Lytechinus pictus: one gene and its partner. The protein of the gene in region 2 binds, or shares a complex with, the protein of the main gene of each other region. Links are inferred from orthologs where the notes say so. Each region holds a gene or a part of one and is shown on either strand. Other genes may lie near its edges.

The links. Proteins that work in one complex are often made in the same cells at the same time.
Region 1: the proteins of NAD-dependent protein deacylase sirtuin-5A, mitochondrial-like (region 2) and peroxiredoxin-1-like are in contact, whole or in part, in a crystal structure (PDB 8Z54), measured with the Homo sapiens proteins. The link is inferred for Lytechinus pictus from reciprocal best matches to the Homo sapiens genes SIRT5 and PRDX1. Residues at the interface, in NP_001363727.1 of Homo sapiens: Ala86, Tyr102, Arg105, Gln140, Ile142, His158, Val220, Val221, Trp222, Phe223, Gly224, Glu225, Asn226, Leu227, Leu232, Val253, Val254, Tyr255, Pro256; in NP_001189360.1 of Homo sapiens: Phe195, Ser196, Lys197, Gln198.

What each region holds. Positions count from the first base shown.
Region 1 is NC_087255.1:28,701,248-28,708,851, forward strand, and holds the start of peroxiredoxin-1-like, read right to left. Parts: upstream 3,026-7,604; 5' UTR 2,815-3,025; intron 458-2,814; 5' UTR 432-457; coding exon 323-431; intron 1-322. UniProt on the Homo sapiens protein: Thiol-specific peroxidase that catalyzes the reduction of hydrogen peroxide and organic hydroperoxides to water and alcohols, respectively.
Region 2 is NC_087256.1:12,834,736-12,841,610, forward strand, and holds the start of NAD-dependent protein deacylase sirtuin-5A, mitochondrial-like, read right to left. Parts: upstream 3,021-6,875; 5' UTR 2,782-3,020; coding exon 2,476-2,781; intron 1,505-2,475; coding exon 1,397-1,504; intron 371-1,396; coding exon 253-370; intron 1-252. UniProt on the Homo sapiens protein: NAD-dependent lysine demalonylase, desuccinylase and deglutarylase that specifically removes malonyl, succinyl and glutaryl groups on target proteins.

The sequences.
Region 1 (7,604 bases), on a different chromosome or scaffold from region 2:
CTTGCCTTGCCCTATGGCTCCATCTTGGTTCTGGTTTTCCCACATTGGGGAGATGGCAGAGTTTTGAGGGCTGTCTTTTTTTAATTTTAGGTAAGGTAACAACTAGAATTGGTTGTAGTTACCTCTGTAATAATCTGACAATTTGATGTCATTTAATTCACCATCAGAGCTGCCCTGCTTTTTTGTGCAAAATGAAAAGGGCACAACTCGATTAACTTTGGCAAATCGAATACCCAAATAACATTGCAGTAACTTCAAAACATGAATTGATATTGCGCAAAAAAAGGCTCTGACTCAAGAACTGGAATTAGTTGTTAATTACCTTTGTAATCTGATAATTTGATTTGGACAAAGTCACTATCCGGGCCTGCGCTGACTGCTGTACCCTCAAAGTAAGGAGCTGGTTCTTGTACACGTGCCTTACCTGCCATCTTTGATTTATATTACAGCTTCTTTCCTGTGAATGAGATTGAAAAAAAAGATTGAGATAGTCACTGTGTAAAGCCAATGAAACACAACAAAGTCAAGACATCGGGGTAAAATTTCGTTTAAGGGGCTATTTTTGTCATTTTGGGGATATTGCTAATTTTTTTTTTTTTGGGGGGGGGAATTTTTTCATTTGAAGGGCTATTTATTTATTTGCAACAAGAAATAATAATCTGCCAATATTATCATCCTCCCATACATGTATGTAAATTGTAGAATATTGACTTTCTAAATATTCTTGAATATTGCTTGATATGATTGTGGCAGATTTTTGGCGATGTCGTGAGATGCTGTGGACAAAAACTAAAGCAGGGAAAACTACCCTGCCACCTTGCCCACTTTGAAAATCTAAGTCTATCATTTATAAAGCTGCGACAAAGTACACCAAGTTTTTTTTTTTTAAGGTGAAATTCAGTAAGAATAATGGACAATTTGTACATGATGGCCAGTGTTTCCACAGATCCAAAATAAATTTCCCAAAATTCATAGACATTTCCTGGAATTTTTAAGTATGATTTCTAAAAAAAATTGGGCAATAATACAGCCAGCCTAAAGTTGGTCCATGTGACCCAAATCAAGGAATATAGCACATTTTTGTTCACGCCCTCTTTAAAAATAGGACCAAAATTACAATGGATGCTCCGCACGAAAACTTTTGAGCTAAGTATTGAGGTAAACAATTCTTTAAATATAACATGAATTTTAAAAGTTGCTACATTTAATTGTTGTTTAATTGTAATTTTCAGATTTCCCAGAATTTCCTGGAATTTTTTCATTTTCCAAACCTTTCCTGGAAAAAGTAAAAATTTCCCAAAATTTCGGGAAGAGTGGAAACACTGATGGCTATGGTATCGGGCCTATGGCTATGTATTTGGCATTTGGGAAGGGGCAAGATCTGAAAATGCATTACTCAACAGCAATGGCAATGGACAAGCACAAACAGTACATGTGATCCCCCCCCCCCCCCCAACTCTCCAAAAAAAAAAAATAATAAGCAAAATAAAAAACTACTTGTAAAAAAAACAACAAAAAAAGAGTTTTCTTTCCACAGACCACAGGTTTGGACCACGCGTCACAGATGCCAATTGCCTTTGTCTGCTTGTCTTAACGGTCTAGCGAGTTAAGTGAGAGTCTGGGGTACTGGTCTGTGGTGGTATTCAGAGATCAATTTTATCTCAGATAAAATAAAATATTTCATCTCCTTTAAAATCACTGAGATAAAATACATGTACCCTTAGAATATCTCTGAATTGGTCTGACAACCATTTCATCTTTATTTTACGTCTGTAAGACACACGGTCTATTTTTGAAGCAACATCCAATGAGATTGAAAAATACTGTTTTATACATCATACATGTAGCTCTCTCAGCTCATTCAACCAATAAAAATCCATTCCGCTAGGTGTGGCAAAGGAGCAAAATTGCATCAATGTATTGTATTTATTGAATTAAAAATGCACTTGCACTATACGCTTGCACATTTTTAGAGATTTCTTTTTTACAAATTTTTAGAAATTACAATATTCAGTGTTTTTTTCTTTGTCAATATCACGTCATTACAGCATCATTTCAGAAAAGTCACATGAAGAAATATTTACTTATTCTTCAGGAATAATGTTAAGGTATTATTCTCAGACTCAATGATAATGTTATTTTTCTTCATTATCATTTCATTTTAACATTTGGAGCTAATTCACCAAGAGCATCGCGGAGATAATAACCTCCACGGGTTACTTTATCTTTCTTTCAAGTTTCAGTTTCAATGTAACAACATGGGCCTGGGCCAAAGCATATCATCCGCATTGTAATGGTAAGATACACAATTCCTACACAGACACTGCTCTAATTAAAAAGGTCGCATATCAGATATGCAAGGAAAAAAATCATAAAATTCAAATTTGAGAAAAATGTCACTAAAATTACCAATTCACTGAATCATCAATCAATTTCTTTTTAAAATATAAAATATTTTTTAGAAGATAATATGATCTCAGAATACTACCCCTGGAAAAAAATCACATTCACAATGATTAAAATGCATAGGAACCCCATGAAATCTCCTATGCATCACACAAAAGAACATGAATTGGAACCAACAAAGAAAAATAATGCCCGATTGCACTTGAAACACGACAACCCGGCATTCACCCACGTGCAACACACATCTTATGCAAGCAAAAATTGAAATGACAGTCAACTTTTCGTTCACCCTCTCACAAATTTCGCGTTTTTTAATCAAAAGCCCAAGTCACCATCCATTCCTCATTTTTTTCTTCTAGAAGATTGAATTTTACCAACCGTTTAAACATAAGAAAGTAGAATACTCACGGTTTCAAAAGAAGAAATTTAAGACTGTTTCTACTCTCTTCGGCTCTGCCGCAGTGCTCGAATGAAGTCGAAGTGAATACTCGTGCTAAATATATACGCGGCGGGCAGCTAGCTGGCCTGGGCGAACGGCGCGTTGGGTGATATGGAAAGCTACGCGGGCGCTGGAGCGGGATGCCGAGCGCTTGGCCCAGCAATGCATGCACATTATTATGCCAGAGCGAGCACGTCCACAAAATTGCAGTATACCAGTAGATGGCGCTAGACTTCTCTCATTCATTGTTCAATAAAAGTTGATTGATTGACAAAATACAATAATGACAAATGAATATCAAGAAAGAAACCTTGAACAGAATTTAAGTTATTTCTATTAAACAATTATTTCAAAAAATAAATATACGAAAGTTTATTCAATGGGTTCGATTGATTGATTGATTCATTGTTGATGTTTTTTGTAGAAGTACATAGAGCGCATTTGGAAAGCAGATTTTTCTTATAATAAACATACGACTATAGTATGAAATGAATGAAAATTAATTAATATAAATAGACTGATGTATTTTATTTGTGAAGCCACAAATAACAATAGCGAAAGATTAGAAACCTCAAATACGTTTTAACGAATCCCTTAAAAATTATTTTCAATTCGGTTGATTGACTGCTTGATAAAGACGAAGCATAATTATAGAAGATGAAGATAATGAAAAAGAAGAAGAATTAGTAGCAGAAACACATAGAGAAGAAGAAGAAGAAGAAGAAAAAGGAAAAGGAAAAAGAGCAGGAGAAGAGAAGAAGAATGAGACGAAGAAATAAAATTGAATGAATAAATATCGGAAAAAAAATAGTTAAATAAAATGAATGAATAAATAAATACATAAATAAATGAATAAATAAATAAATAAATAAATAAATGAATAAATAAATAAATAATTGATTAATTAATTAATAACTCAAGAAGTACATTTAAAAAATAGGGAAGCGCTTAATAAATTAAAAAATATTTCACCAAATATTTAAAATTTCAGCAATAAAAATGCAAAAAATCCCTTTTGGTGAGCACGGTTGCTTTGCTCATTTGTTTTTTTTTAATGGCTTGACACAATATTTATTAAATGTCAGTCATCTGCATGGGAGACCACCTTTCCAGGGTTTATAGACCTACCCCTGGCTATAATGTCCCCTTGATCGTTTAGCCCGAGTGTTCACAACTTTCTCTTACCTGCTTGTCTGACTTCTCCTTTTCTCTACCGGTCATTTTCAAAGAAAATGAAAGTTGTTTCAAAGTAATTCATGATGATCACAGTGACTTGGTAGCAAGCAGGGCAGGATAACTTGATGGGCTTCATGTAGGGTCAATCCCCCGGACTCCCCGGACGGTATACTCGGATTTGTTTCGGACGCGAACGGTGCTGTATACTGAAGCCGTAAAACCAAACATAATTATGATTTAGGGCTTTTGGTTTAGTGATAGATTGATAGACAGGTTGATTGAGTGTTCGTTATTGATTGATAGATTGATTGATTGACTGACTGTTTGTTCTTTGAAAGTGGATGATAGACTGATTTATATTTGACAAACCTCAAGACATACTGAAAAATAAAAAGAATGACTGGCGTAAATCCAGTCCGAGCTGTGCATGGGGGGGGGGTGAAGCAATATATTGATCTGAAAATTCAAAAATTTTGGGACACCCCAACACCAAGGGCTATGTAGGCATGTATACGGGGGTATGGGACCATGAACATAATACTACCATCGACAGATCAAGAACGATTTTTTTTTAATGGCATATGTAATGATTTACAATTAATATCAATATGCGTGCCATCGAGTAGGCCTAATAGTTGGAGACAAAATATGATGTCCAAAAACATCTTTCAAGTGGTGTGAAATTATCACATCACGGAAAATGTATAAATTATGAAGAGCTCACTTGCAAAAGGGGTTAGGTCAATTTTTCATCAAATCTGATTTTTTGGTCTCAATGTATAGATTTTTAGTAGCTCTATAAGATGATACCAAAGAAAAGTTGAAATTCCTATTTGAAAGTGATCAAAAATGGCAAAGAAAAATCACTTTTTTTTCAAAAGGGGTTAGGTCCATTTTAGTTTAGTTGCAAAAGGGGTTAGGTCAACACCGATTTTTTTTTTGGAAAAGAATATATTAAAAAATATGAATAAAGGTAGATTTCTTTTATACCCAATTTTATGTTGTCATGGTAGGGAATCTTTAAAATTTAGTTTCGCATAAGAATATGCAATATAGGAGAATTAAAAAAAAATATTTTCTTGGAGTGGACCTAGCCCCTTTTGCAAACAAACTCTTCTGAAGAGCTCATTTGTCAAAAGGGGGTAGGTCCATTGTTCATAAATGCTATTGTTTTCTGTCTCAAACCTCTAAATTTTTAGTCGCTTTGATGAAAACAAAGACAATTTGAAATTTACATGAAAACATGAATAAAAGTGGCAAAGAAAAATCACCTTTTTAATCAAAATAGATTGGATTCATTTCAGTTTACTTGCAAAAGGGGTTAGGTCCACAATGATAATTTTTAAAAGAATATATAGAAAAAATTGAAGACAGGTAGATTTCTTTTATACCCAATTTTATGTTCACATGATAGTGAGGGTAGTATCATGACAATTTAGTTTCTCAAAAGAATATTGATTGATTGATTGATTGATTCTTTATTTCCATGCAAAAATAAATCATACAACAGAAAATATATTGACAATATCTCATGGTAAAATAACAATAAACAATCATTGCATGGGAGGGAACAGTCATAAGCACAAGGCTTGAAAAGGACGCCCCTCAAGAAAGACTACGGCCCTGAATAAAATCAATATAAGTCATATTTAAAAATTACAGTAAAAGCAGGGCCAAAAGGAAAACACATCAAGCATGTCAAGAATAAATCAAATGATAATAACACACCAGCCGTGTATCGATTAATATTACTATGTTTAACATAGATACGTCGTATAAAATAATACAAAAAATAAAGTATGCAATAAGATGAAAGTCATGAAACTGATGATAGAACAATATCTTAACTCAAATAAGTGCTAATAATGGAATGCTTAAACTCAAACTTAAATTTGTTCAATGTAGGAGCACCACGTATTGTTAAAGCTATATCATTCCAGGTATCTGGACCAGTATGTCTTATTGACCTATGGGCTAAGGCAGTTAGCGGATTTTATAAATGTAAATTTGTTGAGGTTCTCGTAGGATATTTATGAATAAACGAATTCAAAAGGAACATATGATCAAATGTTAATGGTAATTGGCGACAGTGAAACTTAAACATAAACAAAGCAATTTGAAATTTATGTATATCATCAATTTTAAAGTCTTGAAACGGTTAAAGAGGGGACCAGTATTTTCATAAAAACCAGCGTCGGCACACAAACGAATAGCTTTCTTTTGAAGTAAAAGGATATGGTGATTTTTTTATTTGAATGAGCCCCATACAATATTGCAATAAGTGATATGTGGAAGTAAAATAGAATTATAAATTGAGAGTAATGCTTGAGGAGGTAAATAGTGTTTAACTTTAAACATTATACCTATACATCTTGATACAGACGTCAATATTTTAGATACATGGTCATCACATGTTAAAAACTCATCTAGAATGACACCTAAAAATCTCACATTATTTTTTTGTCCGATAGAAATCCCACTTATCTTTATTTCTTCTGTATAATGATTAGCTATTGTTTTGGAGTTCTTGAAATCAATATAATATGTTTTTTTGCAAATTTAAAGACAATTTATTACTTTGGAACCATGTGGATATTTTGGGCAATTCATTATTCAACATTTCAAAAAGCATTCTTTTATTCGAGTTTGAAGAAATAACTGTTGTGTCATCAGCATACAGAATATATTGTAATAAGGGTGAAGAATATACTATGTCATTTATATACAGAAGAAATAAAAGCGGGCCCAGAATTGAGCCTTGAGGCACACCACAATTAATATACTGTGAATTAGAACTTACTGAATTTATACATGTAAATTGTTGCCTATTTGAAATATAACTATTAAACCAATTAAGAGTAGTACTTCTAACACCAAAATATTTTAATTTGTAAAGCAATATAGTATGATCCAGGGTATCGAACGCTTTACTTAAGTCCATGAAAACACAAATTACATGTTCCTTTTTTGCTAAAAGAGAAGAAATTTTATCATAAAGATCAACAAGAGCTAGATCAGCAGAATGAAATTTGCGAAAACCATATTGGGATGGATTTAATAAATTATGTAATGACAAAAATGAAACTAATCTATTGTAAACAAGACGTTCAAGTATTTTTGAAAATGACGAAAGAATAGAGATAGGGCGATAATTCTCAATGAGTGTCCGATCGTCCTTTTTATAAAACGGAATGATTTTCGCAATTTTCATATGAAGTGGACAAATTCCGGTTGACATTGAAATATTACATATATGAACAAAAGGAGTTATAATGCTTAATATAATCTTTTTAAGGAGAAAATTACTAATCTCGTCATGTCCAAAAGAACGACTGTTTTTAAGATTGTTTACGATTTTCAATATTTCCTCAGAATTTGTTGGATTAAAAACAATGTATGTTGACATGAATTGCGTAAATAATCTGCAAAATTAGTTGTGGTATGTGGTATTTTTAATGCTTGTTCCTGCCCAACATTAACAAAATAATCATTAAAACCGTTAACAATATCATCTAATGATTCATATACAAAATCACCATGTGAATATTTATGATTTAAATTAGCATCCTTTGCTTTCCCCAAT
Region 2 (6,875 bases):
TAAATCCATGTAAGGAATTCGTTCATACATTTACTCTTCTTTTTTAGGAATGAAAATATATAAAAGGAATATATTAGTTCACAACCGTCAGTTCAATAAAAACTCATAGCATATTAAAATAAATTATGAAAAAATAATATAGAAAAAAAAAATCAGAAGGAAATTAATTTTTTTTAAACTACAAAATAAAACCAGAAGAAAAGGAGTGATCAGAAGAACATAAGAATAATTTAACAGATAAAAAAATCTTACCATGCATCTCTATAACATTGGTTGAACCAGCTTGTCGATGAAGTTCATCTATATTTTGGGTGATGACTACTACTCTACGACCCTGCTTACTAAGCCGTTTCTCAAAATCTGCAATAGCCTGGGGGAAAATTGAAGGAAAAAATTAATTTCAGCAGATGTCATTTACTGAATGCTCACCAATTTATTTCAACATTTTTAATTGACAACAAAATATGATTATTGAGCAATATTGTTTTACTTTTTACCTGTGGCAATTACAACCAATGTCAAATGAAGCAGAGGGTGTGATTGATGTAGGTGCACATATTTAACCAGTTTCAAGATTGCAAGTCATTGAAAACAGTTGCAGATAATACATCATATCATAATCACATCAACACCCCTGTCCATTTCTTACATATAATCTCTATCATCAACCTGTATTTTAGCAATCTAATTATCAATCATCTCCCTCTCCTTTTAATCATCAATTCATCATCACCATCAACATCATTATTTCAATCATTGCATATGTGCATCACCATCACCATTAGCAGCACAATCATTATCATCATGGTATAAATTATAATATAACATCACAATCATAATGCATAACCACAACTGCCCTGCCACCAGTACACCCAAACTACCAACACCACTATCATCATGATCAATGTTATCTTCATTATCATCATATCACCACCACCATCATCACCATCGTCATCACTATCACCACCATCATCAATCATCATCATCAATATTACCATCCTCATAACTATCACCATCATTATCATTGATCATCGCTATCATCATCATCATAACCATCATCATCATCATCATAATCATCACCAACAATATCATCATTAACATCACTACCATCACTGTCATCACCATCATCATCACCATCATTATAACTATCACAATCATCTTCACTATCACATCATCATCATCATCAACATCAACAATATAACTATCACAATTATCGTCACTATCACCATCATCATCATCGTCCTCATCATCATCATCATCATCATCATTTTTCAGTGTATGTCTTTTCCACCACCTAAGTTACTCCCACTTCTTTCTTATCACAAATTCCAATAAACACCACGACTTCCTGATTAAATCAATCGTACTGATACCTCTCACCACTGTCCTTACTCACAATGTGGCCCTTGTTTGGATGTTTGGTAATCATCACTTCCCGTCTGTAATGGTAGAACTCCCAAACCAGAGAAGGGTTATCCTGAAATGCTTCTGGAGTGGCAAGTTGCTAGAATAAAAAGCAAATCATACATTTGCATCTATTCAAAATTAGGATACCACTCATCGCCCTTATAAAAAATGTTCATGAAAACATCAGTGTCACCAGAGTGGTAAAAGACTGGAATTCTTACTGGAATTCTTTGATTGCAGATTTACAAATACTTTTGTAAGTCCTCAAAAGTCTTTCACTAACCTATGAAAAGTCATCAATCCTGATCTCATAATACAGTTTGAGTAAAATAAATTGACATTTCACAAATCCTGAAAAAAATCATGTCATGAACACACAATTATTATATATGGCCTGAAAGAGTATGTTCTCCCAAATAATTTGATACCATACATATGTGGTTGGCCGTATGTCAGTGATGTGTAAAAGCTTGTATGATCAGGAGGTATTCCTGCAGTGGTGTTAAGTTTGATTTACGCCAAAGTAAGGCATGACTGCAATGAATGCAGCCAGATAATCATACACTGGTTGCACTAACATCCATTTCAAAACACCTTTTTGATAATTTGATTGAAAAGCGATTTGCGAATATGTTTACTAACTGTAACTCATGTCGGATATGACATCATTGGCATCTGGATTCATTCATTGCAGTCATGCCTTACTTTGGCAAAAGTCAAAATTTACATCACAGCAAAGAATAACTCCTGATCATCCAGGCATTAACACATAGTGACATACCACATAAATAAGATATTAAATTAATTGGGAGTTGATACTCTTTCCTTTTTCCAGCCATGTATAATGATTATGCATTTTCATGACATATTTTTTTCTTAGTGTGAGGTGTCAAGTTTTTTTTTACTCACATGGTATATCCAATGTCATGCAATGATTCTAATTTTTATAAATATTTCTTGAACTTTGAAGGTAGCAAAATAAACTTCAATCGACTTGTTAACATACCCGTTAAGAATATTGACTATAACTTAGTCATACTGACAGAACATTGCCGTCTATGCACATACCTGCGCTTGCCACTTCCGCCAGAACCCTCCCGCTCCTCGGAACGTTGGTACTCCACTCTCGGCACTGGCTCCAGCACCTGTCATAAATACGATGTGTTTTGCCTTTGAGATTTCTTCGCGAAGAGCTGCACTATCCGAGTTCCATCTTTGTTCTCCTGCTGCAGCCATCTTGAAGCTTTTTATTTCTTGCAGCGGATTTAGTAAATCTCTCAAGGCTCCAGAGACCGCACGAGGAATACAACTTCCTGAATATGATGCCCTTCTCGAGTGTGCTAAAACTAATGTTCCTCCTCGTAATAACCACATTCTGATGATAATAAATTTGGGGGAAATTCCCCGTGTGCCTAGTCTATTTCGACGTCTTCATATGATCATTTTAATTCCTTTCGACGACAGTATTATATAAAATGATATTTCATATGTTTTTATTCAATATCAAAAATATATATTGAAGTATTTTGAACAGATTTGTCGATTTTTGTTGTTGTTGTAATGAAAATAACAAGATCAACCTCTATTTTATTTGTATCAACTCTTGAAGAAGACTAACCAGGCGTGACACGAAAACAAACAAAAACAGAATCCACCATTATTTTGCACCGACGTATGAGGCGCCGAATGTACCAATATTATATAGAACAATTATTTGTTATATAATCATTATTTATTAAATAATAACTATTATTTATATATAATTTACATTTTATTTGTAAATAACTACTATTATATAAAATATCATTTCTAATTATTTATATATAATTCCAAGTAATACTTCATTATTTGTAAATAATAATAGTTCGACATTCCATTATTTATAAATAATGATTATTTGTTTTTCATTATTTATAAATAATGATTATTTGTTTTTCATTATTTATAAATAATGATTATTTGTTTTTCATTATTTACAAATAATGATTATTTGTTTTTTCATTATTTATAAATAATGATTATTTGTTTTTCATTATTTATAAATAATGATTATTTGTTTTTCATTATTTACAAATAATGATTATTTGTTTTTCATTATTTATAAATAATGATTATTTGTTTTTCATTATTTATAAATAATGATAATTGGTTTTTCATTATTTATAAATAATGATTATTTGTTTTTCATTATTTACAAATAATGATTATTTGTTTTTCATTATTTATAAATAATGATTATTTGTTTTTCATTATTTATAAATAATTTGTTGAGTTTTCCATTATTTATAAATAATGATTATTTGTTAAATAATGAAAACGTCTACTTCATTATTTATAAATAATTTTTTCGAGTGCACCATTATTCTCATTATTTATAAATAATCATTATTTAATGTTCGAGTTTTCCATTATTTATAAATAAAGATTATTTGTTAAATAATGAAATATCTACTTCATTATTTATAAATAATAATTTTGTTTCAATATCCCATTAATCATTATTTATAAACAATTTTTACAGTTTGCCATTATATACAAATAATCATTATTTATTAAATAATGCCATTATTTATTAAATAATGCCATTATTTATTAAATAATGGTTATTTGTATATAAATAATGATTATTTATAAATAATGGATATTGAAACAAAATTATTATTTATAAATAATGAAGTAGATATTTCATTATTTAACAAATAATCTTTATTTATAAATAATGGAAAACTCGAACATTAAATAATGATTATTTATAAATAATGAGAATAATGGTGCACTCGAAAAAATTATTTATAAATAATGAAGTAGACGTTTTCATTATTTAACAAATAATCATTATTTATAAATAATGGAAAACTCAACAAATTATTTATAAATAATGAAAAACAAATAATCATTATTTATAAATAATGAAAAACAAATAATCATTATTTATAAATAATGAAAAACCAATTATCATTATTTATAAATAATGAAAAACAAATAATCATTATTTATAAATAATGAAAAACAAATAATCATTATTTGTAAATAATGAAAAACAAATAATCATTATTTATAAATAATGAAAAACAAATAATCATTATTTATAAATAATGAAAAACAAATAATCATTATTTGTAAATAATGAAAAACAAATAATCATTATTTATAAATAATGAAAAACAAATAATCATTATTTATAAATAATGAAAAACAAATAATCATTATTTATAAATAATGAAAAACAAATAATCATTATTTATAAATAATGGAATGTCGAACTATTATTATTTACAAATAATGAAGTATTACTTGGAATTATATATAAATAATTAGAAATGATATTTTATATAATAGTAGTTATTTACAAATAAAATGTAAATTATATATAAATAATAGTTATTATTTAATAAATAATGATTATATAACAAATAATTGTTCTATATAATATTGGTACATTCGGCGCCTCATACCGACGTACCGGTATTTCATTTGAATCTGGTACAATAAATTCGTAGCCAATATCTGGAATGTAGTATTGCAAATGTTGCTTGTATCGTTCACTATACTCTACTGCTATCCGTCATGGCTTCATGAATGTGCAAAATATTAATCCTGAATAGTATTTTGTCGTGATAATGAAACTATTTTCTTCCTGATTCTTGACGACGCGCCCGTATCCTATCCGGCTACAGTGCAGTGCAGTACGTTGTCAATCGAGCTCGCAAGCGATTCCCCGGCCCGTCCAAGCAACCTCCGGTAAGTATTCAGCTTTATAAATATATTATAATCATGTATGATGGGGGGGGGGGGGGGCACCTAAAGCTACGCAGTTTGTTTACAAACGATATCAGAAAAACAATGCAAATTTTGATATTTTAACAAATTATCTTTCACTAATATTGTGGCAAAAATTCTATTTATAATATAAAGATCATTAACCAGGAAGAAGAAAAAGAATCACTATAACTAGTATAAGATTATGTAAATCCTGCCATGTTTTCTGAACTTGATTTCGCCACCTGATGTAGAACTACTAGAAGGGGTCCTAAAGCTACGCACTCGATTTATCATGCAAAAAATAGTATCTCATGTGTCTCAAAACTCTCAATTTTCTAAATATGTTCATATTGGTATAGGATTATATGAAATTAAAGCAAATATAACTCAAAAATTCCAAACAGTTGTGGGTTTTCTCTGCATTTTACTGCAGCCTCTGTAGAAAAAATTGAATAGGAATCGTTCATCACTCTGCAGTCACAGTCCAACACACAGAGTGCGTATTTGCCATTAAAAACTGCATTGCGCGATGAGTGGTGCATAGCTTTAGGGCCCCCTTCCATACATGTAAATTGTAATTGTTAATTGATGGCACTATAGCAGGCAGCAGCCCAGGAGAAAATAAAAGGTCTACAGGTGTATTGTTGTCGCACAATAATCATCAATATCATGGTAATGGTGCAGAATGAATCATTGACAGAATCATGCAACAAGTCTGAGAAAATGCAAGCTAATGATTACCCCTGTAGTTTTTGCCTTTGGCAACAAAAAAATAATTCAAAGAATAAATAAAAACTTTACCAAGGCTGCATGCAAGAGCTAAAAAGTTAGTAGTGTTGTTGCTGAATTTCCGATTGGCACTACTGTAATGAAAATTTGCAAATTTGTATTAATTATTTAAATGAATCCTGCCAAATCCGAGTATTGTTACTTGATTCAGATTCAATCAGAATATGCAGGAACTGTCTCCAAAAATCAAAGGGAATCCAATTTTTTTTATTTTGAAAAATTGTCTTGCTCTAGCATTATAGTCATTCATGCGATTTTACTCCGATGAGTGCATGTTGAAAAGCTTCAGTAGGTCCGTTCTTAAAGCTATTTTCAATTTTGCGGTACCAAACAGAGTTGTTCTGTGGTAAGCTTAGTATCACTGGGGTTTTGCAAGGACAGAAGTTTATGTGGCAGATTGGATTGGGGTGGGATGTCTTAATCCACTACTCTTTCCACAGGAGACAAAGATGGTGGTTTCAGAACGTAGATTGTACAGTTTAAGAAAAGGATGTACCTTAGATGTACATGTAAGTTATGTTATTGTAGATGTCATTGATAATTGGTATCATTATTATTATTATTATTTATTCGGCATAATCAAACACATAAACAACATATATACAAACAATAGGAATAGGAGAGTCACATGGATGCCGGGAAAGGAAAAAGATTAAATAACTATAACCCGAAGGTCTTCCTTTTCAGTATCAGTTATACTAATGAAACATTACTACACTATTAACAAAAAATACCATCATCAATAAGTTGAAGTAGATAGCGGTCAATGCACATTGTCTTTTATGCTGGTCAGAATTCTGTTATTTAGGGTAAAATACCACTACTAACAAGAAAAGTAGGCCTAATTTACCTGTAAATTTACAAACAGATTTCTTGAAATTGCCACAATTCTAGTTAATTTATTCTTGCTAAAGATG